4 linked regions of the Elephas maximus indicus genome follow. The protein of the gene in region 3 interacts with the protein of the main gene of each other region in a pairwise test. Links are inferred from orthologs where the notes say so. Each region holds a gene or a part of one and is shown on either strand. Other genes may lie near its edges.

Region 1 (7,659 bases), on a different chromosome or scaffold from region 3:
GTTACTGCCTGTAAGTATTCAGCATAAGCTACTTTGTACTGCTTTTTTTTTTTTTTCCTATATTTTCTTCCCAACTCACTCTTCCATCTTATGCTCACTGAGGGGCAGGGGTGGTGGCATTTTTTGTTAGTGGGTCTATTTTGAAATTTCTCAACCTTAGTATTACTGACATTTTTGGCTGAACAGTTCCTTGTTGTGGGCGGTTGTCCTGCGCACTGTGTGATCTTCAGCAGCATCCCCGGCCTCTACTCACTAGACGCCAGTAGCATTCACTAGACGCCAGTAGCATTCCCCAGACAACTTGTGACAACCAAAAATGTCTCTAGACATTGCCGGATGTCCCTTGGGGGGCAAAACTGCACCTGGCTGAGAATCACTGGTCTATTGAAATATTCCCCTACCCAATCTTTGCCAAGTGTATAAGACTGACAAATTAAATGCAAGTATGACGCAACTCCACTGTAAACCCAATTCCAAATCATTCTCTTCTTTTGCTGTACTAGCTAGTATTTTTGGACAAAACAAAAACTCATTTATAATGATAGGACTTTCAAACTGTTTTGAAATGATCAGAATTTTTAATGGCAAACAAATTGGAGGTAAAATAGCTGATATCCAGACTTTCTGAATAAGCAACTGGAAAACAGTACTTTAAACATAATATGTGTAGCAAAGGGTTATTATACTCCCTCTCCCAATCTAAAACTGAATTATGCTGATAAAAAGTTTGAGAGGATTTGAGATCAAATGAGAACTTGGTGACAAGAGATTAAGAGTAATTGACCTCACCTATGCAGACCTGTATACAAAGCCTTTGTTAAAGTGATTAGACTTAAAGCCAGATAAAGCATTATACTAGATTACCTGTTATGTAGACATTATCATCAGCCATCAACCCCCCATAAAGCAGTTTCAGTGAGTCATTTGTTAAGAAAAAAATAATTTTATAGAAATCACATTAGCATTCCTGCAATAAGGTTTGCCCTGTAGCTATAAAAACCTGTTGCCATGGAGTTGATTCCGACTCATAGTGACCCTATAGGACAGAACAGAACTGCCCTACAGGGTTTCCAAGGAGCAGCTGGTGGATTTGAACTGTCGACCTTTTGGTTAGCAGCCAAGTTCTCAACCACCAAACCACCAGGGTTCCGTACAGTAGCTATATCAGTTGCTATTATATTAATTCTTATGCTAATGCAAATTAAATGACTATTTGAAAGGGTAACATACGGAAATGGCTACATAATATGCTTCTTTTTATATCTAGTCTTAAAATAAGGCTCTAGGCAAAGCTTATTATTTCAGTATTTATTACCCAAAGACATGGATTAAAACTACTAAATATGCGACATAACTAAATTATCATTTTTAAGTGGCAGTGCTTTCCTGTTAGCAATTTTTAAAGATCATAATATCTCCCAAAGTGGTTTTGGTCACTTTCTTCTTATTGTTCTTTTCAGAACCCTTTTGTTTTATTTTAGTAAATATAAACATATGTCTTGTCAGTTCCCCCCCCCTCCGCCGCCCCCCGCTTACTTCTGGGCAGATTTGGTCCATGCATTCCTTACAGTCTTTCCTGGGGGAATGGCCAGTACAATAAATATATATTTTTTTCTATTTATAATAGGAAAAACCAGTTGTGACAAACCAAAATGTGAAAAAAATTATGCATAATTTCTTAATAAAATCCTTTATCCTGAGAGATTACCAAGCAGTTGTGATTCACTCTGATAAATAATCTGACTTTGTTTACTTTTTAGAAGTCTCACAAACAGGAGAACAGTCATTCTGCTGTTGACTGTTGCAATATTATAATACCTATGATCTGTTCACTGGCATCCAGTATTTTCCCAAACTACAAAAAACAAAAATAAATCGAAGCTTGCACCTTCTAGTACTTACGGTGTTCAAACCAATAATTATCCACTTTAATTATAAATTCTAACTTTTAATTCTACTCAAAGCTGATGACGAAATATTACTAACATTTATTCAAGAATGAGTTGTTGATGTTAATTGCTGTAACTGTCTCAGACTTTGATCGCTGAATTTTAACACAATACCAAAGAGGGGACATACAACCAAAGAAGAAGGAAACTTACACGAGTAAAATGACAAGCCCAAAGTCACAAAGCTAGTTATGGCAAAACAGAAACTGGAAACAGTCTTCTGATTCCTTGTCCTTTTTGGGAGACTAGATTGAGTCAGCACTGAAAAATCTCAATTCAAAAAGTGCAACTAGGCATAGTTCATCGTTAGCAATAACTGCACTGGTAGTTACAAAACCAGCAACCAGACGCCCTGTAGGCATCCCTCTTCTGATGATCTAAAAAAAAAAAACAAAAAAAAACACCCATTCCACTACCACCCCAGCCAGATTCTAAGTACCTGGAACCTCGGGTAAGCCTACCTTTTCAGACTCCAGTCCCATCAGAATATAAACAAGGGTAACAACAGGCGGTGCAAGTAGTTCAGCGCTCGACTACTAACCCTTAAAGTTCAAACTAAACCAGCAGCTCAAGCGGGAGATGTGGCAGTGTGCTTCGGTAAAGACTTACACAGCCTTGGAAACCCTATGGGGCAGTTCTACTCTGTCCTATAGGATCGCTATGAGTCAAAATCGACTTCAAGGCAATGGGTTTGGTTTCTCAACTGGGTAGGGTTGAGGGAAACAAGTGGGACACCTAGATGTATTAGAAAAGGGTAAAAACCTAAGGGGAGAACGACAAAACACGGAAAAGCAAAAGGGGAATAGTTGAGAAAACTCGCCACAAAGCAAACACGACCCCTCCAGGCCCCACGCGAGTGCAGGAAGTGGAATGTCAGCTTCGGATAGGTTTGATAGACATCCCTCGGCCATTGTTCCTACACCAGGGTAGAGCGTTTGGAGGGAAAGGGCACCATCCCTACGCCTCCCTCTACCAAGCAGCTGGCGGGAGTAAGGGCATCCTTAGACGCACGGCGCGCCTCTTCCGAGCCAGTGGTCCGGCGCGCAACCCTAGAGCTGGCCCAGGGTTCGGGGCCTAGAGCAAGGCCCGGCGACTCCGTGGCGGGAAGCAAAAGGGTCGACCCACGCGCTGGAGAGGCGGGGAGCAACACGCTCGCTCTGGACTGGGGTGGATGGAAGATGTACGGGGCTGGAGGGGCCAGGAAGGGTGGGGGCTCGGGTAGCCGGGGAGGCCTTTCTCACCATCGTGCCAAACTCTTTCGCTGCAGCCGCTGTAGATACCACCACCGCACACGAGCTGAGCCACAACGCCGCCAACAGCCAATCCCCGCGAGAGGAGCCGCCGGAACTCGTCAAAATCGCAACCGGAAAGAGCCTTTTGGACCATAGAGGCGTACATATTTCCGGTAGCTAGAGCAGATACCGACTCTGTTTCAGCCATGTTGGATAAGGGCGACTTAGATACATCGCGGAATGTTTCGTAGCTTGAGAAAGGGTCCTTTTTTTTTTTTTTTTTAAGACGCCGTCTTCCGTACTCTGGTTGTTAGACATTCGGCCAGAGTGATCACCAGTATAGACGGGAACAAGTCCTTTTCAGTGGCCTTACTAATATTTTTACTAAAAAATGGCGGCCGTATAAGTATACCGGGCCATAGGTCGGTTGTAACCCGGAAATGCCTTTCGGGGGGGGGAACCGGTGGGGCAATCCGGAAGTGGATGTAATGAAGAGTTGCCACTTGGCGGCCATGGCAGCTGTAGTATCGGTGTCTTCGGGTCAAGACTCGGAGGAGTGGAGTGTCATGGGCAGCAGCGGGTATAGGGCAGAGACAGCTTTGTATCAGCTTCGCTGCTGAACCTTTCGGATCCGTCGTGTTAGAGACCTGCAGGACTCCTTTCCCCATACAAGACTTGGAGGGGAGTTTGCCGGGATTGGTGGGCTGGTCCCAGCCCTGGGGGGATCACCGTTGGGCTGCCTCAGGGGTACGGGGGGCCGGGAGACGAACAGGTTCTCTTGGGTTTTCCTCCTCTTCCTGCTGCCATCTGGGACATTGTCTGTGGGGGGAGTGGACTCCTTGTGCCACTCTCATTCCGACGATTGAAGAAGTCGTTCATTCTCATATTTTCCCCGTTGACTTTTCCCATTTCTGTTAACTCACGGGAATCCAGTGTCTGGCACCTGGGAACCCAGAGGCTGGGACCTAAGGTTGCTGAAAGTTCTCTCTGGTGCTATTATCAGCAAAAAGGGGTTTCCAGAGGTACCTCGAGAACAGATCTGCTGGTGGGGAGGCCGAAAGAACTGGAGAGCCCGCCTATTCTCTTGGAATCACCGCGCGTGCTTGAGAACCTAAGCAACTTTTGAAGCCACTGAAAATTCATAGTCTGTCTGGTGGTGGTGGGTGAATAAAGGAGGGCAGAATGGATGATTTCATCTCCATTAGTATGCTGTCCCTCGCTATGTTGGTGGGATGTTACGTGGCTGGAATCATTCCTTTGGCTGTTAATTTCTCAGAGGTAAGAAATAACCAATATTCTGTCAGCTCTCAGGTTGGCTGCTGGGAAGTAATGACAGTTATGAAGGGAAGCAGCTTCCCAAGTTAATCTCAGAGCTGAGGGATTTCATGAAGGAAGACTGTCTTTTAAAAAAGATACCTAACGTTTAATAGTGGAAACAAATCTCATTCAGCACTAGAGTTTTTAACGTGGGATGGGTGGATCCACCAGAAATCTGGGGTATTCTGAACCTGGGGGTCCTCATGAAATTGTAGACAAAAATTTGAGGGCTCTGCATTTTCCTGAGAGAGGCACCATAACTTAATTGATTCCCAGAGTTTCCAAGGAATTAAGGTTCCAGATTGCTATCAAGAAATATGAGTTGAAATCGGTGTAATTTTTCTTTTTGATAAAGTCAAGCATAATTTTTTTTGGTAAAGCTAGTTTTTTGGACACCGGTACTAGAACAAGTGTAAGATTAAAAAAAAAAAACCTATATTGTCGTTAACTCAAATTTCTTTTTAAAGAAGCAGAATGTTGGAATGGTTATTCCAAAGTTAAGTTTTCAAATCTCTTTCCTTAGAAATGGTTTTTTTGTTAATATGTTTTGACATTTTGGGTAATTTGGTTATTTGTCATTCTTTAAGCAAATAATCAGAGGGGAAGAGAAGGGTAGTGTTCAGTGAAAATGCAGATAGGTTGTTTCAGTTGTCATGGAGAATTCACAAAGTGCACAGTGCTCAAAGATTTAGGGGAAAAAACTACTAGAGTCACAGGTACCAGGATTTTATGATAATTTCCTGGGGTTTAGCAATAAAATAGGCCCTCGCTTCCCTACCCTCCTGAAAGTGCAAAGGAAAGGGGAGAGTGGTTTGGCCTGAAGTAGAAAGGAAAGGTAAGGACCAGGTGTGAGTTAGGCCTTGAAGAAACCTGAGGGAAGAGGAGGCATCGCTGGTGAAGAAAATAGCCTGTGGGTGGGAAAGAAAGTGGGACTAGGCATTATGAGTTTGAGGGACAGTAAAGCCCACAGCCAGATGGAAAGGAGGCTTGAACTGCACTTTCTCCTACCCTGTTTCTTTTTGTGTCTTACCTCTTAGCACCTAATGTTAATTAACTTTTTTGAGTACATGCAAAGCTAACTTCATTTTAAAAACTTAGTGAGGCATATATGAGGAAACTGGTTTAGATAGGTTTTATAACTTAGACCTAAACTCATGCAGCGTGTTAGAGCTGTTCTCTAAATGTAGTTTTCTCTGACTCAGATTAATTCTTAACCACCCTGCACATTGTAGCAAAGGTAGCAAACAGGTAGCCATGTACCAAATCCAGCTTACAGACTTGCTTTATTAGGTTAGCAGAGTGTTTAATTTTATTATTATTATTTTTTGCCTGTATTCCCTCAAGGCAGCAGTTGGCTAGAGCTGAGTAGCAGCTGATGGTCAAGATCCTCCTTGGTCTGTGAAGCCTACTTCTCTTATTTTAGTTATTTGCCTGCCCTATGAGCCTGCTAGCTTGTTTCTGACTTAAGCCATATTTTGTTATAAACTTCTTTAGCATTGAGTTGATACTATTAGGGCTGACATTTGTGAGATTTGGGGTGGTTTGTGTATTTAAAAACGTGTAGGTAACATTTATCAAGAATTATAATGTAAATAAGCAAATGTTAAAACTTTTTATTTCTACGAAATGCCTAGAACTCTTCAAATTTCAGTATTTTCTTGAACATTAAAATATGCAAGTATATGCTATTCTTCACTGGGAGGAAATGTCTACATGAGTGCTATTACTAGCCGGGCAGTTGATAAAGATAACTAGTGTGCCATGTCATTTATGGCTTTCTAAATTGATGGTGGAAACCCTGGTGGCGTAGTGGTTAAGTGCTATGGCTGCTAACCAACAGGTCAGCAGTTTGAATCTACCAGGCACTCCTTGGAAACTCTATGGGACAGTTCTGCTCTGTTCTATAGGGTCGCTATGAGTCGGAATCGACTCGATGGCAACAGGTTTGGTTTTTTCTTTTCTTTTTAATTGATAGTGAAATGGTCTTTTTCAGTTGTGGGTCTTAAAATGTTGTTCATCAGCATTCATAATATCTGTTTATTAGCATGACAGGAGCAATGCATTTTGAGCTGTTAGAATAAAAATGAACATTAGTAACTTAGAGACATTTTAGAATTCAGCAGGTGTTTTCTGTCTCCCAGAACTAAGCACCTTTTTCTAGGCAAATTGTACTACTATAATAGACCAATGTATTGTGACTAGTGAGATGATAAATTTGTAAAAATAAACTTAATTCAGGAGGATTCGGAAGCAGAATTTCTATCCTTAGGAAATAATTCCCCGAACTCCTACCTAGCCTTTTTAAGGAAGTGTAGCTTTTCTTCCACCACCCATCTGCCAGTTTATGTCATACTCTGGTGGCTTGCATATTGCCGTGATGCTAGAAACTATGCTGCCAGTATTTCAGATACCAGTAGGGTCACCCATAGTGGACAGGTTTCAGCAGAGCTTCCAGACAAAGACAGACTAGGAAGAAAGGGCTGGCAATCTACTTCTGAAAATTAGCTGATAAAAATCCTACTGACCACTAGAAAATATTGCTCAGTATAGTGCAGGAAGATGAGCATCTTAGATTGGAAGGCACTCAAAATACACAGTGGCCACAGCAATGGACTCGAGTATACCAACAATCGTGAAGATGGCACAGGACTGGGCAATGTTTGTTCTCTTATACATGGGGTTGCCATGAGTCGGAGCCAACTTGAAAACAACTAACAATTGCTAATGACAACAGTTTTTCTTGGACCAATGTTTTTATAAATAAGACCAAGTAAACGTAATGTATTTTTTTAAATTGTGCTTTAGGTGAAAGTAAACCTAATGTGTTTTATAGTTCACTTTTGCTTACATGAAAAAGTATGCCTTTTTTTCACTGTAAACTTTTTTTTTTTATTGTGCCTTAAGTGAAAGTTTACAAGTCAGTCTCTCATACAAAAACTTATACACCTTGCTATGTACTCCTAGTTGCTTTCCCGCTAGTGAGACAGCACACTCCTCTTCTCCACCCTGTATTCCCAGTGTCCATTCAACCAGCTCCTTTTCCCCCCTATCTTGTCATCTTGCTTCCAGACGGGAGCTGCCCACATAGTTTCATTTGTCTACTTGAGCCAAGAAGCTCACTCCTCAACAGCATCAGTTTCTGTCTTATAGTCCAGTCCAAT
Region 2 (8,380 bases), on a different chromosome or scaffold from region 3:
CTTCAAGGCTTTTTTTTTTTCTTCTTCTTCTTATTCTTCAGTCTATTTGTTGCTCTGTTGTTCAGATGGGGGAAATTTTGTTGATTTGTCCTCAGGTTCACTGATTCTATTCTCTGTCATCTCCACTCTACTATTGAGGCCACCCAGTGAGTTTTTGTTACTGTATTTTTCAGTTCTATTATTTCCATTGGAGCCCTGGTGGCCCAGTAGTTAGGAGCTCGGCTGCTAACCAAAAAAGTTGGCAGTTTGAATCCACCAGCCACTCCTTGGAAACCCTATGGGACAGTTCTACTCTGTCCTATAGGGTCACTATGAGTTGGAATCGACTCGATGGCAATGGGTTTGGATTATTTCCATTTGATTCTTTTTTATAACTTCTGTTTCTTTGCTGAGATTTTTTGTTTTAAAAGAATTTGTAATTGCTTGTTGAAGCATTTTTATGTCAGCTTCTTTAAAATCCTTGCCAGATAATTCCAACATCTGATTAATCTTGGTGTTGGCATCAGTTGGTTGTCCTTCCTCATTCAAGTTATGATTTTACTGGTTCTTGATCAGTAATTTTTTTTTGTATCCTAGACATTTTGTCCATTATGTTATGAGACTTTGAATCTTTCATTTTAGCAGGCAGTCACCCTGATGAGGTTTAGCATGCAGCCTACATTTGTGGGCCGTGATTCCAATGACAACTTAATTTTCAGAGTCTCTGCAGTGTTATTTTCATCTGCTTGCTTTATCTGGTGCCACTGGGGCTTCCACTAGTCCCTGGTGGTGCTATTTGAGGGAGTTACCAGGCCAGGCCAGACCACCCAATGCCTTTTGGTCGGGGAGGAGAGTCTCAGACCTGGTGTGGAAGAAGAACACTTCACCTGGTCACTTACTGTTAGCAGAGCTCTTGGTCAGTTCCCTTTACTGGTGGTGCTCGGCTTGCCTGGTGATGTCAGAGGGACTCCCTTCAATCCAGGGAGCTCATACAGTGGACAGTGGGGAGTGGACTCCAGAGGTTCTAACAGTGCTGTCCCTCAGCCAGTCTCACCAAAACAGATTCTACATGCTCCTGCTTCCACTTCTGAATTGAAGTCTGGGATCACTGAACAGGATTGGTGGAGTTCAGTCATACGTCTGTGTCTCCAGCTTCAAGGGAAGCTGGGAAAAAAAGCTCTGGTTTTTACCTTGGGGAAATGGCACTACTGATATAGGAACTGCCCCAAACATAGGAAGGCCATTTGAGAGATGTTGGAGGCCTCCAAGTGTGACAACAGTCTCCCACATATGGACATATAATAGGACTACTTAAGTAAATACTCAATGGCCAGGTCATAGCCCAGACCCTACATCTTTGCTGGCATGCTGGTTCTCCACCAGAGTGGGGCCTGCTCATGCAAGAGGGATGCGGACTTTATTGGGTTTCTTGGTACATCAGTAAGGTGTTCCCTGAGCCCGGCAAGGTGAGTGCAAGTTGTCTCTAAAACCTCGCATGGTATTTCTCTTAAATGACCCTTTCCATGTGATAAGACTCCTAATGAAGGCAGAAACTATCAGTTAAAAATATGAGTAGACGATCTGGATGAAGCTTAAATAACTATGTTGAGTGAAAGAAGCCAGACCAAAAAAAAGAGAGTACACAGTGTATGATTCTGTTTATATAAAACAGTAGAAAATGCAAACAAATTATAGTGATGGAAAGCAGATCAGTGATTGTCTTGGATGAAGGGGGTGGCGGGGAGGGATGTGGAGAAGGATAAAAAAAAGAGCACAAGGAAACTTTTATGTATAATGGATATGTTCTCTATCTTGATTGTGGTGGTGACTTCATGGGTGTATACATATGTCAAAACTTAACAAACTGTACATTTTAAATACATGCAGTTTATTGCATGCCAATTGTACTGCAATAAAGCTGGACAAGGAACAAAAGAAGACGGAAGAAGAACTGACGCATTTGAGCTGTGATGTTGACAAAGAATACTGAATATTCCATGGGCTGCCAGAAGAATGAACAAATCACTCTTAAAAGAAATACAACCAGGATGCTCCTTAGAAGTAAGGATGGTGAGATTTTGTCTCATTTACTTAGGACATACCATCAGAAGGGACCAACTGCTGGAGAGGGATATCATGCTTGGTAAAGCAGAGGACCAGCAAAAACAAGGGAGACCCTCAATAAGATGGATTGAGACAGTGGCTGCAACAACGTGCTTGAACATATCGCCTATTATGAGGTTGGCACAGACCAAACAACATTTCGTTCTGTTATACATAAAGTTGCTATGAGCTAGAATGGACTTGACAGCACCTAACAAAAACAACAAAGCTGGGTACCTATGCGCATCTCCCCTGGGTGATGAATAGAGTGGGTGGGGGTAGAGAGGAAATAAGATTTGCCCTGACTTGATGATGTGGGTGATGGGTACATCAAAGGTCATCGCATTACTCTCTCTACTTCTGTATGTTTGAATTTTCCATAATAAAAAGTTAAAGCAAACAAACAATGGCTCCCTGTTTCATTCAGGGGAGAAACCAAAGTCCTTCCACTGGCCCACATGGCCCTACATGATTCCCCAGACTCACCTCTCTGCCCTCATCTTCTCCTGCTTATCTCATTCACTGCTGCAGCCCTCTGGGCTCCTTGCAGTTCCCTGAACAGGACAGGCACTCTCTTGCCTCAGGGTCTTTGCTTATGCCCTTCCCCCCTGCCTGGAATCCTCCTCTCCCATGGCTTGAACCTGCCTAAAGGTGACCTTCTCAGTGAGTCCATCCTGACTATTCCATTTAAAACTGTTACTATCCTATACCTGTCACTTTCCATGCCCTCTTCCCTGTCTCCACAGTAGTTATCATCTGACGTCCTGTATAACTATTTATTTGTTGCTGTCTCCTCCCCTTCCCCAGAACGTAAGCTCCATGAAGTTAGGAATTCCTGCCTGATTTGTTCACTGCTGAATCCCCAGCATTGACAACAGCGCACAGTAGGTTCTCGATGAATGAATGAGCAACATATAAATATTCTAGTGGCATGCCTGGTAGGGAGTGAGCACTACGGGATTCATCACAATCTAAAAATACCTTGCTGAGTCATTTGATAAATATAAACTAATTGTTAGTACCTTTTGTCCTGGCCTTTGTAAAACGAGAATACAATACATACACACATTGGTTAGTTAATTCATAGTGAGTATTTTAGCAAGGTAGGGAAGGATTCCCATGGTTTTGGAGGTGGGCAGACCTGGTTTGAATCCTGGCTCAGCCACTTGCCAGCTATGTGACTTGGCCAGATTGCTGAGCCTCTCAGAGCCTAGTTTCTTCACTGATGTGCTTGCTGGAAATGTCTGCAGTCTGGGATGGCACAGAGCTGACCTGGGAGCTCACCCCCTGCCCTTCCTGAGCGAGCCCTTGCCCCTTTGGCAAGATCGTCAGGAACACCTCCAAGGCCTGCCCAGGTGCTGTGCCCCCTTGGGACCTGTTGGTGGGGTAAGCTAGCGACAGGTGAAGAAACTGATAAGGAGGGACAGGCAGTGATATCCTGAGATCACAAAAGGGGAGGTGACTCAGTCCTGACCCAGCCCTACATTCTCCCCCAGCCCCCTCCCCCCAAGCCTGGGGCTATAAACAAATGACTCAGGAATGATGGGGGAGTGCTTCACAGCAGTTCACACCGGTGCCCCAGGGGCTAAATTTAACCCGCAGCTGCAGCCTCTGGCACTTGGGGAACAAGTTAATCTTGGTGGCTGAGGCTGATGTGTGTGTGGGGGGTGGGGGTGTCAGGAGTCCAGGGCAGGGTAGGGACTAGGACTGGCTGTCCAGGGTCTCAACCCAGACCCCTCAGACCGTAGCAAGGGCCCTGAGGCCAAGCAGGGCTGTGCCAACTTCTCTGTACTGGGCATAGGGCCCTTCCCCAGGCAGGCTCAGGCCATGCCCAGTATAGCCAAGACCAGTGAGGACAGACAGCTAAAGTCCTGGAATATTACAAATATTAAACTTTTAAGAAGGTTACTTTTTTAACATTAGAATCCAGAATGTCACTCCCCTAGAATGTTAAAACTCGGGGGCTTGAAACACCTGGAATATTAGAATCCTAGGAAATCAATATTTTAGCATGTCCCTCACCTTAAAATGTTAGCGTATACTCCCAGGAACACAACACCTCGGAGCTTCTGAACCTCAGCAGTGCCCAACTGAGGCCTTAGAGCTCAACTCCCCATCTCCTCATTGTGTATGAGGGGAAACTGAGGCTCAACAGGGAGACCTGACCTGCCCCAGACCCCACAGGAAAGTGGTGACCTTGTTTACCTAAGATAGTTCCTTGCAGTTCGAGGAGGGGCTCAGAGCTGGGGCAGAAAGGGGAAAGTTCTCCCCATTTTAAAGGTGGGGGCAACAAGGCCGCCACAGGGTGAATGCTATAGCCAAGTTCACAGCAGTATCCAGAAGTGGCTGGAATGGGATAAACTAGAGAGAGGAAGAAAGGCCCGAAAGGCATGAAAGAAAAGAGACCCTGGAAGAGGGGCTCCAATGCTTCCCCCTCCCTCAGCTGAAAGTCAGAGCTTGCCGTCCCTCCCCTCGCCATCCCACCCAGGGGTATTGCCCAACTAAGGAATCCAGAGTCAAGGCCTCACTGCGTTCTATTCAGAAATGTAGCAGCGAGGCCCTCATCTTTGCGTGGAGGGTCCAGACGCTCTCCACCATCACCCCACCCCCACCCCCACCCCCACCCCATCCCATGAGTCCCCTGGACTGAGTCAAGGCTGCTGGGGGAGAGGGCCTCTGGCCAGCTGTCCCCTCCACGTCATCCGCAGGAGGCCAGACTACTCGCCTTACAGGCCTAGGCCGCCTCTATATATAGCCCATCGAAGACAGCTGCGCAGACCCAGAGTGCCTCAGTAGGAGGGCAGGGGAGCACCGAAGTCCCGCGTCCCAGTCGCCATACCCTAGGCTACCCACCATGGCGCTGGGCCTGGAGCAGTTCGAGGAACAGCGCTTGTACCAGCAGACACTCCTGCAGGACGGGCTCAAGGACATGCTGGACCACGGCAAGTTCCTGGACTGTGTGGTGCGGGCGGGCGAGCGCGAATTCCCGTGCCACCGCTTGGTGCTGGCCGCCTGCAGCCCCTACTTCCGGGCGCGCTTCCTGGCCGAGCCCGAGACCTCGGGCGAGCTGCGCCTGGAAGAAGTGTCCCCCGACGTGATGGCCCAGGTGCTGCACTACCTGTACACGTCGGAGATCGCGCTGGACGAGGCGAGTGTGCAGGAGCTGTTCGCCGCGGCGCACCGTTTCCAGATCCCGTCCATCTTCACCATCTGCGTGTCCTTCCTGCAGAAGCGCCTGTGTCTTGCCAACTGCCTGGCAGTCTTCCGCCTAGGCCTCCTGCTCGACTGCGCGCGCCTCGCCGTGGCCGCCCGCGACTTCATCTGCGCCCGCTTCGCGCTCGTGGCGCGCGACGCCGACTTCCTCGGCCTCTCGGCGGACGAGCTCATCGCCATAATTTCCAGCGATGGCCTCAACGTGGAGAAGGAGGAAGCGGTATTCGAGGCAGTGATGCGGTGGGCCGGCGGCGGCGACGCGGAGACTCAGGCTGAGCGCCAGCGCGCGCTGCCCACCGTCTTCGAGAGCGTGCGCTGCCGCCTGCTCCCGCGCTCCTTCTTGGAAAGCCGCGTGGAACGCCACCCGCTGGTTCGCGCCCAGCCGGAACTGCTGCGCAAGTTGCAGATGGTGAAGGATGCGCACGAGGGCCGAATTACCGTGCTCCGCAAGAAGAAGAAGGAGAAGAAAGAGAAGGAGGGAGCCGGAGCCAAGGCGACTGATAAGGGCATAGGCAAGGCCAAGGCCGAGCCCGAGGCCGAGAAGGAGGACGAGGAGGAGGGCGAACGTATCCTCCCCGGGATCCTCAACGACACCCTGCGCTTCGGCATGTTCCTGCAGGACCTCATATTTATGATCAGCGAGGAGGGCGCCGTGGCCTACGACCCGGCCGCCAACGAATGCTACTGTACCTCCCTCTCCACCCAGATCCCCAAGAACCATGTCAGCCTCGTCACCAAGGAGAACCAGATCTTTGTGGCCGGAGGTATCTTCTACAACGAGGACAGCAAAGAGGACCCCATGAGCGCATACTTTCTGCAGGTGCCAGGCAGCCCTGGGAGGGGGCAGCCAGGGCCAGGATCTGGGCACTGAGGCAGCCTTGGGCGCCAAGAGAGGACTGTGTCTACTTGTCAGGGAATGTCACTGGTTCTAGGATAAGATGTAGACCAGGGAGACTGACAGCTACTTGCCTCAAGGTTGGGGAGAGCCCGAAGCAGCTGACTGAGCTGCACTATTTTGGGTGTCAGGGTTTCAGGAGGATGTGAGCCCCGGGATCGTCTGGTTGGAGGCCCTGGCCCTGCACATGGGTTGGGGTCAGGCACAGTGAGGGGGAGCAGGGCCAGCGCAGGGGTCCTGGGTAGAGTGTCTGCATGAGACCTAGGTCTGGAGCCTGGAACACAGGATGTCCCAAAGGGACCATCCTGTTTAGTCCTCCCATTGTACAGATGGGGAAAGGAAGGGCCAGTAGAGTGCCCAGTTCAAGTTGGGGTGTGACTGTGGAATCTCAGAGCGCTGGGATGGTTTCCTGGAGACCAGTTTGAGCCTTGTCAGTTGGGTGGAATTTAGAGACATGGAGAGGATGGTGGTGTTTCTGAAGGACAGGTAAAGGGGAGATGGTGTGAGCAAGGAACAGACAACAATGAGGACTCTGGTGAGTGGTGTGCTCAGTGAGGCCTGCGCAGGTGCTCGAGGGGGGAGGGGCAGCTCGGTGCCAGGGCGCAGCCCACAGCTGGGTCCCAGAGCCCCCTCCTCAGCTCCACCTTGTGGTGCCCCCATCACATCGCTATAATGGTGGTCCCTGGGCACCTACCTCATCACACACCCCAGGAAGGCCTCACCTGCTCTTAGCCTGGAGTGGAAGAGGGGTACTGTGTGGCGAGGAGGACACCTCCAGGCTGCGCTGGCCCTCCCTGAAGTCCCGATCTCCTTTGTGACCCGGAGTGGCAGGCGGGACTGGGCTGGGGCTGGAGTGGTGAGGGCGGTAGCTGATTGGACGCCCGGCCCGGCCCACAGTTTGATCACTTGGACTCCGAGTGGCTCGGGATGCCGCCGCTGCCCTTGCCGCGCTGCCTCTTCGGCCTGGGAGAGGCTCTCAACTCCATCTACGTGGTCGGCGGCCGAGAGCTAAAGGAGGGCGAGCTCAGCCTGGACTCGGTCATGTGCTACGACCGGCTGTGAGCGCGGGCGGGGCGGGCTGGGGACCCGCCGGGGAGCGGGCTGGGGGCGGGGCCGGGGCCCTGGGGCCGAGAAGCGGAGGTCGGCGGGAGACCAGAGGCCGGGGGCTGGTCCTACACGGGGGGGTGGGGGCTGGGAAGCCAGCGCCCAGGGGTTGGGGCGGGGGCGGGGCCATGGCCCTGGGTGGTGGGGTGGGGTGGGGTTGGAGCGAGGAACTGAGAGGTCTGGGGACTTCCTGTAGTGCATTGGACGCACCTGGAATATGTGTTGGATGGGTGGATGAAAGGAGAGACGGATTCTGAGCGCACGGTCTGAGCCGAGCGCTCGCCCCAACTCCATCCTCTCCCGTCTTCTCCAGGTCGTTCAAATGGGGCGAGTCGGACCCGCTGCCTTATGCCGTGTACGGCCACGCGGTGCTCTCTCATATGGACCTTGTCTACGTCATTGGTGGCAAAGGCAGCGACAGGTGAGGTTCGGGCGGAGCAGAAACAGAATCTCCCCGAGCTGTCACGGCTTGACTGGCTGCGCTGGGAGGGAGGGGTGACTGGGCCGAGGGAGGGGCGGCTCTGTTCCCCTTCCATCCACTCACTCACTGCCTCCTCCCCTCCCACAGGAAGTGCCTGAACAAGATGTGCGTCTATGACCCCAAGAAGTTCGAGTGGAAGGAGCTGGCACCCATGCAGACTGCCCGCTCACTCTTTGGGGCCGCGGTCCATGATGGTCGCATTTTTGTAGCTGCTGGGGTCACCAACACTGGGCTGACCAGTTCCGCTGAGGTGTACAACATTGCAGACAACAAGTATGGCCACTGCCCCGCCCACCACCCCAGGAAGGCAGGATAGCTGTGTGCTGTGCTATGTGGCTTAGGGCCTGTGGTTGCCCTCTCTGTGTCTGCCCAGATGGGGGCCAGCCCCCATCTTGGGTCTCAGCTGTTGAGCTTGGACGTCGCCACAGTAGTGGCATCACTAGGGAGATGCCGAGGGTGCAGACCGCACCAGGTGACACTATCAGGGGGAATGGACACCAAAATGACTGAAAAATTTTTGTGCAGTTTCATCAGTTTATTTTTTTATTTTTTATGAAATACCCCTGTAGTTTAGTTACTACAGCAAGGACATATTTTGTAAGCCC
Region 3 (7,927 bases):
CTGGGTTTTACTAAGTAGGATACACAGATTTTTTTTTTTTTTTTAAACTGGGCATCTCAATGGCATATTTCACAACAAAAATTCTAAGAGAAAAAACAGGTAGAGATACACCTATTCCCCAGAAAGAAAAACTCCAAAGGACCTCTCTTCTCAAATTAATCTGCAAATTCAATGCGATCACAAACTATACCCTAATGAAATTTTCTATAGACTGTTTTGTAAAAAGATGACTCTAAATTTCATCTGCAAGAGAAAATGGAAAAGGAAAACCCACAACTTTTTTAAAAACAAAGTACCAAAATATATTATAAAGCTACAATAATTAAAACAGTATGGTAATACCTAAATGAGTCAGAGAAGTATGTTCAGAACACAATAAAAAATGAGCAAAGGGTATGAAGCAGCAGAATGTTCAACTTTCTTATTAAGGATCATATAAAATTTAAATGAGATAGTCTTTTCAGTTACAAAATTGACAAAATATAAAAATACATATATTGTTAACATACAGTGCTGGCTAGCAGGGAGACAGAAACACACCTTTTTGAGAGAGTGAATATAAAACGGTACAATCATCTGAGGGAAATTCAAAAGCATATTATCCCACATTCTCATAAGAAATCAATTCTACAGAAATAGAAAATACAACCTTTCAAACACTGTCTTTTTCTTAAAATAATTGTGGACAAACATATTTTCACTTTTTATTTCTTCTCTGGCCTGTCTTAGCTTTGTTACAAACCTGGTGGGCAGGGTTACAGCCAGCCTCACATCCTGTAATATTAAATACCACGATCCTCCCCTTTTTCCATTTTAATCCTTCTGGAACACCATGGGCCCTCAGGTCACTAAATGGTAAACCACAATAACGTTATATACTTGGTACGATATTTTTCAAAAAGTTTATCATTCTAATTTTATCTTACAGGGAGAATTAAGAAGGGTAAGAAAAGCTTACCTAAATCTACAGATTACAAATAAAGTGGTGATTAAGAGAAATCTGAGGACTTTTAAAATATCTTCCTCAAATTATGAGGTTAACATGCCACGTTTTCCCACAAAATGCTGTTTAGTGCCACCTTCAGACAAAATGCTGAGTTGCACAGGCCAACATTATGACATTCCTTGTGCATTACCCAATTTTTTTGTTTAATAATCTTCCATGCAGATAGACCTCTTTCTTTTACATCTACTGAAAAAATAGGTCAAGCACTGCCCTGAAGTCTCTTCAGAAAGAAACCTGAGCACCAGACTTTCACAAAGACCCTGTAGGTGCAGAGTGTGATCAATATCACCGAAAAATACAAGTAGAAATTGAATTGGTGAAAGTTTTGCTGCGTATGCTCTAAAAAAAAAAGAAAGAAACCGTATAAAATTACTTTCTAGCGAGTCCAAACTAAGTGAGTAATATCTGCCAACTATTTAAAACATAGCCATAACACCCATGAGGATGAAGCTGTCCTCTGACGAGTAACTCAAAACAAATGCTTCAACTGTTCTACGCTTTTGCTCTCAAAACCGTGAAGAACGACGAACATTGAAGCCCTATAAACCGGTTGCCATCAAGTCGATTGCGACTCAAAGCGACCCTTCAGGACAGAGAAGGGCTGTGTCCCACGGGTTTCCAAAGCTATGATCTTTATGGAGAACCCTAGTGGCCCAACGGTTAAGAGCTTGGCTGCTAACCAAAAGGCTGGCAGTTCGAATCCATCTGCCACTCCTTGGAAACCCTGTGGGGCAGTTCTAGTCTGCCCTATAGGAGTGCCATAGGACCCCAACAGATTTGGTCTAGTTGCTTTTTTAATCTTTAGGAAAGCCCACTGCCACATCTTTCTGCAGCGGCTGGTGGATCTGAACTCCCGACCTCTCCGTTAGCAGCGGAGCGCTTTAACCACTGCACCACCAGGGTTCCTTGAAGCCCTATACGAACTAGTAAAATGGTGACTTCCTAGAAACAATTTAGATCTACGTTTGCAGCGCTGAGAATGCCGACAGGTTGCAAAAGACCGAGTTATTCAAAAAGGAGAGATGATTCCAGAAAAACAGCAACCCCTCTCACTCCAGCTCAGGGCTTCAACCGATTCCTTCCGGTTGGGCTGGCAGCTGAGAATCTGCCTTTCCACCCGATACACTGAATCACAATCTACATTTTAACAAGACACCCACGTAATTCTTATGCATGATAAATTGAGAACCACTGGACTTACCATACATAAAAATAATTTGGGGGATCTTGTTCAAAGATAGATTGTGATTCAGTACATCTGGGGTGGAAATGCAAATTCTTAGCAGGGGGTCCAAACAGAGCAGCTGGCTAGAAGCCCTGGGGCAAACATGCATCAACGCGTTCATCAGTCATCCAAGAAAAACATGCAAAACCAATCATAATTTTAAAAAGTGTAACAGCAAAGCCACCAACAGCAACTACAAAAGTCCCAAGCAGCTATATCATGCATTTAGCCTTAGAAGACTGGAGCTTTGCCTTCCTTCCAATCGTCTACACAGGCGCACAAAACAGCGCGCCCCAAAACCGATGAAGTTTTACCTGTACTTTGTGCTGCCGCCGCCCCTGAAGACTTCAGAGAATTGTTCGATTTCTTTCCCATGCTTTTAGATTTTGTCTGCTCCTTTCACACGTGCTTCCTTTCTCTCGGTCCCTCCTGGCCAAATGTGACACATATAACATATATTTTCGAATTATATATTTTTTTAAAGTGACGTCTTTCTTCCTCTTTGTAATAAAAACCTCCAGTAGCTTCTGTATATTCCCCTTCTCCTGAATTTCCAATAGGCGATCTCAACCCCAAGTTTTCAAAAGCTCTCCAAAATTCTACCTCAAAAGAACCCAAGCCTATTCACGTTGCAGCTCGCCTGCAATACAGCCAATCTTTTCTCTCTGTCGTTCTGCCAAGAACGCGGGGAGGAGATGACTACGAGTAAAAGCGGGGACGACTTAGGAGAGTGGGAAGCCCCGAGTCCCGGTTTCGGCGGCGGCGCCTGAGCCACTCTGTGTCGCTCTCGAATCGACGCCGCTCTAAGGTGCTCAAAGGACGGAGGAACGGTGGGTCAAGGACGAGACTCGAAGCCGTCAGGTCCCCCGCGCTTTTCAGCAAAGCCTCCAATTCTTCCCCGAAAAGGCCATAGAAAAGCAAGAACCCCGTGACGCTACACGGCCTGAGGTAACATGTCGACTTTCTTACACACGATCGCAAGCAACCGGAAGTAAAACCTCGCGGCCGAAGGAAAATGAGAAAAATAAAAGAGAAAGTGAAAACTGAACTATAACATCATCCTTAGAGGTAGGAACGAATCACAGAGCAGATACCGAAGCGCAGGCGCGGGTCGCGTTCGGCGTACACGCGGCACTTGCCTCTTCCCTCTGCGCAGGCGCGAGGGGCTAGCGGGGCCCAATGATTGGCTTTCCTGGCTGGCGCACCGCCAGATGCAGCAGGCGCGGGCGGGAAGACCCTGTACGCGTCCTGTGGAGTGCCTACGCGGGCTATCGGTGGCGCTGGTTTTTACCACAGACGTGGGTGTTGGCTCCTTTAAGGGTCTCCCAGCGCAACTGCCGCGACGCTTGTTTTTTTCCTTGCCAAAATGTGTTAATTCCCAAATATCATCCTTGTTTCAATTTAACAGGTGTTGAACACATGTAACATTTGTGGATGTGCTAGTTCCCTAGGAAAACGCCTCTAGAAGGTTATGATCTATACAGAGGGAACTAAGATGACCATAACCCAAACCAAACCAAACTTGTTGAGTTGGTTCCAACTCATAGGGACCCTACAGGACAGAGTAGAACAGCCCCATAGGGTTTCCAAGAAGCTGCTGGTAGATTGGAACAGTGGACCTTTTGGTTTAGCAGCTGCAGCTCGCTATAGCTCTTAACCACTGTACCACCAGAGCTCAAGATGACCATAAACCAAAACCAAAAACTAAACCCAGTGCCATCTAGTCAATTCCGACTCATAGCAACCATCTAGGACAGAGTAGAACTGCCTCATGGAGTTTCCAAGGAGTGCGTGGTGGACTTGAACTGCTAACCTTCGGTTGGCAGCTGTAGCACTTAGCCACTATGCCACCAGGGTTTCCAAAATGACCCTACCAAATCAAAACCAAACCCGGTGCTGTCCAGTCAACTCCGATTCATAGCAACCCTATAGGACAGAGTAGAACTGCCCCATAGAGTTTCCATTGAGCGGCTGGGGGATTGGAACTGCCGACCCTTTGGTTAGCAGCCCTAGCACTTAACCACTACACCACCAGGGTTTCCAAGATGACCATAAATAACATTAACTCAGCTCTCTCCTTATCTGTGATAAATACCAATGAGAAGTATAAAGTGCTACAGATACCCTGAGCCAGGCACTGTGCGGTGCAATGGAAATAGGAAGAGATTCATTCAGTTGAAGCCGTGTGCCAGGTTATTGTCTTAGGCACCAGGATTACATATGAGGACAAGATCGACAAGGTCCTTGCGTGTAAGGGAACTTACTCTAGAGCTGAAGGCCAAGCAGGTAAACAGCAACAAAATATAATTTCAGATAAGGATATGTTCTATGAAAACAAACTGGAAATGCTGGAGAATGGGGGCAGAAGCTGGAGGCCAGGGACAGAAGAGGCAGAGCTGAATAAGGTACATTTGAAGTCAAACAAAAAAAAAATTTTTTTTTGAAGTCAAACCTGAATGACACAAACTGCATCAACCTGTCCTTGGAAGATCTGGTCGCTATGAGTTGGAATCGACTTGGGCAGTGGGTTTGGTTTTGGAAGATCTGGAGGAAGAGCTTGACAAGTGGAAGGTAAAGGAAGTGCAAAGGCCCTGAGAAGTGAAGTTAAGCATGCTCAAGAACTGAAGAGGTCTGGCTGGAGAAGCAGGGAATAAACCATAAAATAAAAAAAGTGCACAAAATCAGAATGTACAGTTTATCACAAAGCAAACATTCATGAAAACACCACCTCAGTCAAGAAATAGAGCATGCTAGTATCCCAAAGTCTCCCCTTTTCTCTCAATCACTACCCCCTTCTCTACCACTAAAGATAACCGCTATTCTAACTTCCAAGATAATCTTTTTTATTTTTCTTTACAGAGTTGCCATTGAAGTATGCATCCCTAAACTTTCATAGTTTAATTTTGCTTGTGTTTTGAATTTTATATGAATTGCTTTGTGTCTGATTACTTTGGAGAAATACTATATGAGATTCATCATGTTTTGTGTGTTTTTTCATTTTCATTGCAATATAAGTAGGTGTGGATATAGCACATTTTCTTTTTATTTTTTTTTTATTGTGTTTTAGGTGAAAGTTTACAACTCACATTAGTTTCTTATACAAAAATTTATGCACACATTGTTATGTGACCCTAGTTGCTATTCCTATACTGTGACAGCACACTCTTTTCCACCTCAGATTTACCATGCCCATTCAACCAGCTCCTATCACTTTCTGCCATCTCATCTCACCTCCGTAGCACTTTTTTTTAATCCACCGTATGGTTCATGAACATCTGGATTGTTCCTAGTCTTGGCTATTAAGAATAATGCTGCTATTGAACCAGGTGGTCATGAGAAGGTCATTAACCATCCCATAATAGTTGTTTTTCAGAAAGCCTACTCTTGCTACATTTTTGCTACAGCACTTCAACCTGATTGGTCGAATCCCCAGGTCTCTTCTCTTTTCCTAGTGCGAGGCTGAGGCCCAGGCGTATTATGAATTTGCTGGCTATGTGACCTTCCAGAGGTGACAGTAGCAAGCAAATCACCATTTTAGGACCACACAACAAGAATTAGGCATCCGACACTTGCGGACTTCATGTGCATCTTCCTATCGCAAGACTGAAGATCCTCCCCTTGCTGTCCATGCATATGTATGTCACTCCCTATAAAAGGTGCAAATCTACCCTAGTTGGGGGAGCTGGCAGCCTTAGGTCACAAGACCCTGCCTGTCTCCCAGTTTGCAAACTGCGAATAAATCTTTCTGTCCTTCCAACTCTGCATCTGGCTGGCTTTAATTCTCTTGTCTGCTTGACAAGAACCTATTTATTAGTTGATGACTTCACTATGAATGTACTTACTTCTCTTCTGGTGCACATGTATACTCATTTTTGTTTGGTGTATACCTAGGAGTAGAAGGCAGGCACGCTGGGTATAATAGTTGGGGGTTTTATTTGAGTACATATTTATTCCTGCCCCCCTCTGTGGTGCAATCCTTTGAGTGGCTTTTTGCCTTGATTCTTTGGCAAAAGAGTTTGGGAGATTTTCCCCTAAACCCTCAGAAATTGTTATTTTTGCCCTAGTTCTTTGGAGAAACAGCCTGGGGGAAAGGAGTGCTACTCCCAGGTTGTTGATTACCCCAGAGGGTTTGTTACTTTTGTTCAGGGGATTCCCCAGGTTGATTGACACTTCCTGGGTAAGCTGTAAACAACTTAATGCTTTGAGACTTTTATCTGGTAATTAACAAGACCTGAGTTGATTGACATCTCATGGGTGACTGACCTTTGGTTGAATTCTGGTCTGGTGAGGGAGGCCCTGCCTTGTAACTAAGGGGGAGTGGGATATACGAACAGCTAAAATAGGTAAGTTTTAGCAGCCGCCCAGTTGAGAAAGAGATGTTGGGTAAGTGCTGGGCTGGTAGAGAAGCAGAACCACAGGGGAGCTAAATGATCCTGAAGCTGCTACATTGGCTGTGAGCTAAGCCAGTTAGTAGCAGAGAGGGCTGATGCAGGAGAGGCCTAATGTGAGAGAGCAGCTATGAGAGCTGAGCAAGCTGCTATACTGGCTGTGAGCTGGCCCAGTTAGCTGCCTAATGGCAGAGAGGAATAGTGGAGAGCTGCTGCTGGGACAGAGGCTGAAAGTAGAATCCCAAAGTGGGAGAAAGGAAAAGAGGAGGAAAAGGAGAAGGCAGCAGTGGGGGTGTTGGTAGAAGAGGAGAAGGGGGCTCTGAATTCCTCCACAGCTTTGCTCCCTCTGAGGAGTAAGGCCCATGATGAAGGCCCCATGGAGGCAGTGGAGGTGGAGCTGGAATTGCACACCCTGCAGAACAGGTAGGCTCTGTGGCTCTTTAAGAATGACTTCAGCCAGGTCTTGCATCTGGTCACCAAGTTTGACACTGTGGAGGACTTTTGGGAGACGTACAGTCACATCCAGCTGGCCAGTAAACTCTACTGGTTGCAACTACACTCTGTTCAAGGATGGCATCCATCCCATGTGGATTAAGCATCAGGATTAAGCAGGGTGGCCACTTGCTGGTCAGCCTCGCCAAGCACCAGCGCCACAGCGAGCTGGACCTTCTCTGGAGACACTGTTGTGTCTGATACGGGAGAGCTTTGAGGAACATAGAAGGAGGCATGTGGGGCTGTCGTCAACATTTGCACCAAAGGGCACAAGATTACTGTGTGGACACGGGAGGTGAAGAGCCAGGCCAGCGTGCTGCACGTTGGGCATAGCCACCAAGAGCACCAGGAACAAGTTTGCAGTGTATAGGGGTCTCGGGAACACTCACATTTCAATTTCACGACCAGAGCCTGTGTGTGTGTGTGTGTGTGTGTGTGTGTACATGATGGGGGGAGGGCAGCTTACACAGCTGCTCCTTGACATGACTTGGGGGGCAAACAGCTGGTTCTTCCTGTGTCCTGGAGTGAATATGAACACTTCTTAATATGATTGGGGGCTAGGCATGAGGCTAGCTCTGTGGGGGAGGGCCCAGCATTACCTGGAGCCAGAGCCGGGGGGAAGAGATTGAGGGAACTTCTGGGTTTCCTTTTTTCATCTGGGGGTAGGGTATTAGCTGGGCCAATTAGTGGTAGAGAAGTCAACAGCAGAGAGCCTGACAGTGGGGAGCCCAATGGCCAAAAGCCCAACAGCAGAGAGGCCTGCACAGCAGAGAGGGCAGCTACTGGCAGAGAAGCTGAGTTATGGCACATGCCTGG
Region 4 (7,888 bases), on a different chromosome or scaffold from region 3:
CTTGTTCGTAACTCGTGGGCTGCCTATAGTCTCTTTTGACAATTGTTTTGATGCTTCCCTTATGAAACCAATCCTTGGCACTTGGGGAAGAAAGAGAAATGTGAACTGCAGCCTTTTCCATCTGATAACTCTGGCCCTGGGCATTGCTTATCCACACCACAGGTACAAGAGGGACAAGGAAGGACAGTGGTGCCTTCAGAAAGACCTTTCCCAGAAGGCCAGAGCCAAGCCAGGGCAGGAACCTGCAGGAACCTGGAGTGCCTCAACCCACTTGGCTTTTCAGCATTCAAGAGGCAAAAAGCTCAACAAAGATAGCCAGACCTGGTTTGAGGTTACGAACCTCAACTCTAACGTAAGAGATGTGGGTTTGAATCCTGACTTTGCCACTTACCAGCTTATGACCCAACCCAAGTTCCTTAACCTTCCTGAGTCTTCGTCTTCCCCTCTATAAAATCAAGGTAGCAATACTGGACCTTAGTATCAGGCCAGACACACAGTATGTAGTGACAGTTACTTTCCAGGTACAGCAGGAAGACTATGGGCTCTGCTCAGACAGGCCTAGGTTCAAAACTACTGCATATTAGCGCGTGATCTTCAACACGTTATTTAATCTCTCTGTACCCCAGTTGGAAACCCTGGGGGCGTAGTGGTTAAGAGCTATGGCTGCTAATCAAAGGGTCGGCAGTTTGAATCCTCTAGGCGCTCCTTAGAAACTGTATGAAGCAGTTCTACTTTGCCCTATAGGGTCGCTATGAGTCAAAATCTACTATGAGTTAAAATCGACTCAGTGGCGACAGCTTTGGTTTTTTTTGGCTTGGTACCCCACTTTTCTCATCTGTAAAATGGTAATCATGACAGTTTCCATTTCATAGTGTTGGTTAGTGGACTGAATGAAATAAGGCACTTAAAGTTCTTAATCTGGTGCCTGGCACACAGTATGCCCTCAATAAATGATGGCCATTAGTTGCAGTGCTACTTTGACAAAATTATGCAAGTCGTTTCATCTCTCTGAGCCTCAGTTTTCTCATCTGTAAAATGGAGATAGCCCTTACCTCAAGGTGAGAATGCAATGAGTGGATGTGTGTAAAGCACTCAGCACCGAGTCTATACATCTGAGGAAGTCAAATGTCACATCCCTGGTGCAATGGACAGAGGACAGGCTGCAGGGTCAGGCAGGCAGCTTGAGAGTCTGCCTCCACCTCCTTTCAGCTGTCCCAGGATACAGGGTGTATCTCTCCAAGCCTCAGTTTCCTCATGCATAAAACCAAAGGCCATTTTCTGCAGCATAAGACTATAGGGAGGATTAACAACAGCACCCAGGATGGTTCCTGGCACATGGTAGGTGTTCCACAAATGTGAGTCCCCTTCCCCTCTCCCTGCTCTCCTTTCGTGTTCAAACCCACCGAAATGCCCATCTGGCAAAGCCAGGAACTACATTTCTTGAACCCTGAACAGCCCTAAGCCCAAACCCAAACCAACCTGGGATAGTGAGACTTTATTTTGTAAAGATAGAAACTTCTTTTTAGTCATTTCCAAAGCAGACGGGACAGCAGAGGCTGACAAACCACAGGGACCATTTTAAATCCTGGGCCTTTTCTTCTGGGAAGTTAGGCAAGAACCTTCCCAAATGTTTGCCCGTGAGGCCCTCTGCCAGGGAGTGACTCATTCCACAGCTCCCCAGGCGTATTTTATTTGGGGGTGGGGGATTGAGGGAGGGCCTGGCCTTGATGGGGGAAGGGGAAGGCCACGTTTCCAGCAAACCCAGAAGGTGTGTGTCTTTTTTTTTTTTCCATTTTTCAGACAAAAAAGCAAAAGAATGTGGGTCTTTTTTGTTTCCTTCCAGGTTTTGTTTGTCTAAAAGAAGACGTCCAAAGTTCACTTGGTGAGCTTGCTGCGTTGGGAGCAGGCGCTTCCAGCCGGCTCTGTGTCCCTTTCAATGAAATTCTTCTTCCATTAGCTACGGGGTTTTTAAACGTGCCTCCAAAGTTTGCCTGCGCGTACGCCGAGCTTCTAAGACGACATTTTCCCCCTCAGAAAGGCAAGCTGAATTTTGAAAATGCAGAGGAAATGGGGATCCACAGAGTTTCTCAAGTTTGCCTTAGAGCAATAAAGACTTTGGACTACAAAGATTTTCAGCATTTATAAAGCACAAAACACTGTCACTCAAAGCTCCAAGGAGAGACACCTTGGAAGATGGTGTCCCAAGCCTGCTGTGATGAATTTGTTACTGTCTTGGAGACTTGTGCTTGAAGCCCAGGTGCCATACATATCAATCAGACAAATATCTATCTGTTTAGCAGGACAGGCAGAGACAGATCCCATAGGCACAGACAAATGTCTTAGTACTGCTGGACTCACCAGGGTCAACCTCCAGGCCTGGGAAAGGGTTAAAAGCCAGCCAGGCCAGAGAGAGCCAAGACAAAGTGGAGACCCAGAAGGGTCTTTAAGAAAACCAGGCACACATCCTCTGGTGCCCGGCCAAAGGGCTCTGCCAGCCTACCACATCTCCTGCCCAGCCTGTGTGTCCTGGATCCTGCCAGTGGTCCTGCCCAGGCCTGGCTAAGAGGCTTCGACCTCTGCCCAGGCTCAATGGGGCTCTGGGAGTCTGTCCTCTGGTCCCTCATTCACCAAGTGAGGCCCTGGCACCCACCCCATGCTCACGCCAGGTCAACTTCTCTCCACGGGCTCCCTGACATCTGGGCCAGCAACAGGCATATCACACATATAGACCTGGTGGGCCCAGAGGAACCATCACCCTTGATAATAAACATACCCACACACTCCTGTACACAAATCACACACTCACATCCACATATGCACACTTTTGTCTTCTCGGGCTCGTAAATGCACACACAAATCATTTGTGAATACCACATTCATACATGTGCATACACACACATACTCCCTACGATCCACACATACTACGTCACAAAAATGAGATCACAGTGAACAGCCTGGCACAGTCCTGGGCACATAGTAAACATCCCCTAAGTGGATAAACGAGAGCGATGGTCGTTTTCCAGCACTCATTCACACCAAAAATCACAACCCAGAAACTGATGTGCACACGCACAAACTCCGGCGCAGGCATGCACACACTCCTGAGAACACACTGAGGAACTGAGGACAGCGGGACACACGCAGCCCTCACACGCTCGGACGCGTACCGACGCAGACACGCTCAGATTTTCACTTTCACAAGCGCACCCCCAACTTCACGCATGCACACCCTCCGGCTCTTCCCCGCGGAGCCTCGGGCGCGCGCGTGTGCACGCGCACTCGCCTGGGCCCGGGTGTGGGGTGACGGCCCCGCGGCCCAGCCCCCGCCCCCTCCCCGACCCCTACCCAGCCCGGCCCAGGCCCAGGCCACTCACCGGCGCGCGGACGGGATCGGCGGCCCGGCGGAAGGACCCGCGCGCGGACTTGCGGGCCAGCCGGAGTGGCGGGTCTCACACGAGTTGGCCGCGCGGCGGCCACACTCTCGTCCGCTCGGTTCCGCCACCGCTGCCTGCGCGGGCCCGAGCGCGCGCTCCCGCCCCTCCCCGCCGCGGGGCCGCGCCGCCCCCTGTGCTCGCGCGCGCTGCCGCCACGCAGGCTGAGGGGGGTGGGGGGGGCGCGCCCGGGCAGCGCCTTCGTTGCTCCTGGACCCTTCGGCTCCCCAGCAGACCTTCTGAATGGCGAATAAGCCACTCAGCCGGCCCCCTCCCCCATTTCACAGATGGGGAAACTGAGGCGCAAGCTTACACAGCAAGTCAGGCCCAGCATCTTCTAGGCACTTAGGATGAGGGGCTGCAATCAGCCAACCCATGAACCCCTCCCACGCGCTTCTTGGGGTCCCCTATCACCTAGCATTTTCCCCATCACGGCACTGGTCATATTGAAATTGGGCAAGCCACAAGAACTTATTGTGTGCCAGCTGAAGGCAGGCAGTGAAGTAAAAAGCCAAGAATAAGGTGGTGCAACGATGACTGCTTCCTGCCCTTAAAGCACAAAAGTCTTCTCCGCTGGAGCTCCCGGCCTCCTGTGGACCCGGGTCCAGACAGAGTCAGTGTGCAGAGTTGAGAAGTAAAAGACCCCACTAATGAATACCCAACACTCCCTTCAAGGAGATCAGCCTCCATGGGGATCCAAAGGTTGGAGAAACTCAGTTCCCTGCTTCCCTTACTAGGGGAACCCCGTGAAGGTGAGGACTCTCCTGGGTCGGATAGTTCCTCTCACCACACTTGCTGCCTCTTCTCCACGTACCTCTGGCTCTTTCCCCCAGGATGGCTGAGAGCAGGGACCAACCCTGCCTGCCAGATACTCAGCTTGGCCACAGCACTGTGCTGAGCAGAGTGGATGTCCATTGGGCCTCCATCTGCCCAGCGAGTGGGCATGCTTCCACTGGGGATGACCTACGGCAATAATTAGCACCAGCCAAGCATCCACTGTATGCTGGACCCCTTACTGCACGCTTGGCCTGCATTGTGTTGTTCAGTCCCACAGCTGCCCTGTGAAGGGGTTATGCTACCACTGTGCCCATTTCACAGATGGGGCAAATGAGACTTAGAGTGAACCTTAGAAAAGTGAATTCCCTTATTCAAAGTCATACCGCTGGTAAGTGGTTGAGCTGGAGGGTGGACAGCAGGCTGCCTAATTCCAGTGCCTGCGAGCCTGATCACCGGGCAGTCTTGCCTTATGAGCAACATAGTTCTGGGCTGGGGATCTGCAGAAGCTGCAGACGGTGCAGCAGCTGGCTCAGAGTTGCCAGCACAGTCGCAGCTCCCCGTCAATGAAAAACAGAGACTTCGCAAATTGACAGGGAAGAAGTGGATCATTCTGCAAATTGTTTAGCTGTTTAGTTCCATTTATAGCCTCGCCTCACGTGATATATACCACAAAAAATGTCAGATAAATCAAAGAGCTAAGGGTAAGAAAATGTTGTTGTTATTACCTGCCATTGGATAAGGCCCTGACTAGTGGTGACCCCATGCACAACCAAACAAAATGTTGACCACTCCTGTGCGATCCCCAGGATTGGCTGTGGGTCAGGCTGTTGCAATCCATAGGATTTTCATTGGCTGATTTTCAGAAATAGATGGCCAGGCTTTTCTTCCTAGTCTGTCTTAGTCTTAAAGCTCCACTGAAACCTGTTCAGCGTCATAGCAAGACGCAAGCCTCCACTGACAGACGGCTGGTGGCTGCGCATGAGGTGCGTTGGTCAGGCATCAAACTCAGATCTACCACATGGAAGACAGAATTTTCCCACCGAGCCATAAGTATAAGAAATAAGCAGTGCAAAAAAGTAATAGAAAGAAACAGAAGTTCTGGGGCAATATATTGCAGTACTACTAGCAGGATCCATGATATTGGTCATAGTCATGCAGCAAACATTAGTTCATTCATTCATTCACCTGACACATATCTGTGAGTATTTTCTATGGGCCAGGTAATGTACAGTAATGAACAAAATACACCCCCGACTCTCTTGGGGCTTCAGGCTGGGATGGGAGAGAGAGAAAACAAACAACCATAAGTATCTGGCATCTTAGGAAGATAAGGTTGGTAGAGAAAATAAAACAGGGAAGGGTTAGGAGAGCCCAGGAGGGCTTTTTCGTAGAGGCTGTTTGGAGCAAGCCTCATTGATGAGGTGCCGTCTGAACAGAGGCCTGCCTAAAGAAGTGAGAGAATCAGCCACAGGCTTACTGTGTGTCAGGTAGGCCCACGCTCCCCAAGGATGCATGCCTCATCTTGGTAAGCTATGGAGCAAGAACCTCAAGCCCTTAGAAGACTTTGGGAGCAGCACTAGACCACTGAGAAGAGAAAGACCCGGCCCCACGCACAGATCTGCATAAGCCTCTACCATTTGCAAAACCCTTCCCTGACTCTCAGGGACCCAGTAATGTGTGCTTGCAATGCCCTCATTTTCCAGTTGAGGAAACTGAGGCTCAGAGAGGTCAAGTGTTATATCCCAGGTCATAGAGACAGCAATCAGCGCAGATGAGTCTGACTGCAGCTGAGCTGATGTTAGGGGAATGAGGAGGCCTTGCCCCCCCCGCACTGTTCCCACTGGCCCTCAAACTCTAATTGAGGAATGGGAGGAGGTGGGGGGTTCACTAAAGTCTTCTAGAGACAGAAGGATACAGCAGTAGGACTTGGAGGAGGACGGAAGTCATCCAGGCCTTCCTCCTTCTGGCCTCCACTTCCTTCACTCAGACAGTCCCAACCCCTGGTGGTATACTTGGGGAAAAAAAAACGGTTAAATTGCACCCAAAGATTCCCCCACTCCCCACCAAATCCCTGCACTACTGTCACCACCCAGGCCAGGGTGTGAGTAGAGGGAAACGGCACAAGGCAACCTGAGCCCCACTCAACTTTTGATTTTAACTCAAAGGATTTTTTAGTGAGTCCCCGAATGAGTCACTGCATAGAGGTGCTTCCCTAAATGACTCCTAGAATTAGAAATCCACGTCCCCCTGCGCACTGTGCCCAGACTCTTCCTCCCATGGGGGTGTTTGTGAATCTGGTCTCTCTGTTCACCCCCCAAGAGTTTCAGAATTAAGCCTGCGTCGTTTCACTATTTCTCTACATGAGGGGAAGAAAAACTCCAGCTTGCGGAGACCTTCTCCGTGCCCGGTTAGGTGCAAGACATTTAATTCTCACAGCTACCCTTTGAGATCAGAGTCATGATTTATGTTTTATTGATAAGGAAACTCAGAAGTGGTTTGAATACAGACAGGATTTGAACCCGGGTCTGCCCAAAACCTATGTTATTGTCAGCATTTTGGGGAAAGAGTTGTGGGGAGGAGGGGACACATGAAGAAGAGGAATCAGGTCAAGTTCCTTTGACGGTACTTAGTTCAAAATGTCTCTTTGCCAGCTTCCAGATGGTAGGATTCTGGTAGGGAGGCTAGAGCCCAGGAAGTCTGTTTTGTTTGTTGTTTGGGTGTGATTATTAATGGCACCATCTTTCACTCTCAAAGTGCCTTGGTTTGGATGATAGACTTCGGTTGTTTTTGAAGGGCACTGAATTGGGGGATTCATGTCTTTTTATTGAGATGAAATTCACATGACATAAAATGAATCATTTTAAAGTGAATAATTCAGTGGCATTTAGTTCATTCACAGCGTTGCGTAATCACTATGCTGGATTCATTTTTGACATGATACCAAGGACATAATTGGGGCCTCTTGTCTGCTGGGCCTGCCTTCACATCCTAATGTCTGCGGATCTGGCCAAGGACTCCACAAGAGTTTCTGAAGCTCCAGTCACATTTTCATTAGCAGCAAACCTGGCTGGCTTGTGGACCGGACTGGGCGGCTGCTGGCTTGGAAGGAGTCAGGGCTACAGTTTGGGACACCCCCTCCCTCCAACCTCAGCTCTGCCATTCCGTCCCCGTGTGACTCTGGGCCTAGTTTCCCTACTGGCAAAATGGGGGTGGGTATCTAAGAGCCTGCCAACCTTGACTTTCTAGGATTTTAATTTGCCGGTGCACCCTGGGAAATCGAACTGACCATATTTAGCTATTTTAACTTTTTACAATATTAATTTGATTTCTTTGTTGAATAGATAATACTTGCCCGTGGTTCAAAATTCAACAGGTACAGAAGGGTACGTGGTAAAAATTTCCTTTCCACCCCTACCCCCAGACACCTGGTTCCTTTTCCAGGAGGGAACCAATGTTGCCAATGAGCTCTGTGCCCAGCCATACAGCTGTGTTTTGTGTGGGTATGCATTCATGTAAATACGTATATATATTTTTTTCTTTTCTTATTTTTGGCACAAATGGTAGCATATACCCACTTGTGTTTTCTTCACTTGTTGAAGACAATTTCCTATCAGTTCATAAAGAGTGCCTCCCTTTTTTATGACTGCATAGCATTACAAAATCTTCCCATTTAAACCATA

The links.
Region 1: the proteins of TASOR2 (region 3) and ERH interact in binary tests that used the Homo sapiens proteins (3 or more experiments, as listed by UniProt). The two-hybrid records come from large-scale screens. The link is inferred for Elephas maximus indicus from reciprocal best matches to the Homo sapiens genes TASOR2 and ERH.
Region 2: the proteins of TASOR2 (region 3) and KLHL40 interact in binary tests that used the Homo sapiens proteins (3 or more experiments, as listed by UniProt). The two-hybrid records come from large-scale screens. The link is inferred for Elephas maximus indicus from reciprocal best matches to the Homo sapiens genes TASOR2 and KLHL40.
Region 4: the proteins of TASOR2 (region 3) and NEK6 interact in binary tests that used the Homo sapiens proteins (3 or more experiments, as listed by UniProt). The link is inferred for Elephas maximus indicus from reciprocal best matches to the Homo sapiens genes TASOR2 and NEK6.

What each region holds. Positions count from the first base shown.
Region 1 is NC_064828.1:81,863,847-81,871,505, forward strand, and holds the start of ERH (enhancer of rudimentary homolog), read right to left. Parts: upstream 3,300-7,659; 5' UTR 3,194-3,299; coding exon 3,191-3,193; intron 1-3,190. Other genes in the region: SLC39A9 (zinc transporter ZIP9), read left to right, coding at 4,368-4,459. UniProt on the Homo sapiens protein: May have a role in the cell cycle.
Region 2 is NC_064838.1:47,155,579-47,163,958, forward strand, and holds the start of KLHL40 (kelch-like protein 40), read left to right. Parts: upstream 1-4,899; 5' UTR 4,900-4,936; coding exon 4,937-6,115; intron 6,116-7,087; coding exon 7,088-7,248; intron 7,249-7,607; coding exon 7,608-7,715; intron 7,716-7,862; coding exon 7,863-8,048; intron 8,049-8,380. UniProt on the Homo sapiens protein: Substrate-specific adapter of a BCR (BTB-CUL3-RBX1) E3 ubiquitin ligase complex that acts as a key regulator of skeletal muscle development.
Region 3 is NC_064822.1:53,202,913-53,210,839, forward strand, and holds the start of TASOR2 (protein TASOR 2), read right to left. Parts: upstream 3,253-7,927; 5' UTR 2,607-3,252; coding exon 2,546-2,606; intron 1-2,545.
Region 4 is NC_064827.1:75,293,766-75,301,653, reverse strand, and holds the start of NEK6 (serine/threonine-protein kinase Nek6), read right to left. Parts: upstream 3,522-7,888; 5' UTR 3,375-3,521; intron 1-3,374. UniProt on the Homo sapiens protein: Protein kinase which plays an important role in mitotic cell cycle progression. Required for chromosome segregation at metaphase-anaphase transition, robust mitotic spindle formation and cytokinesis.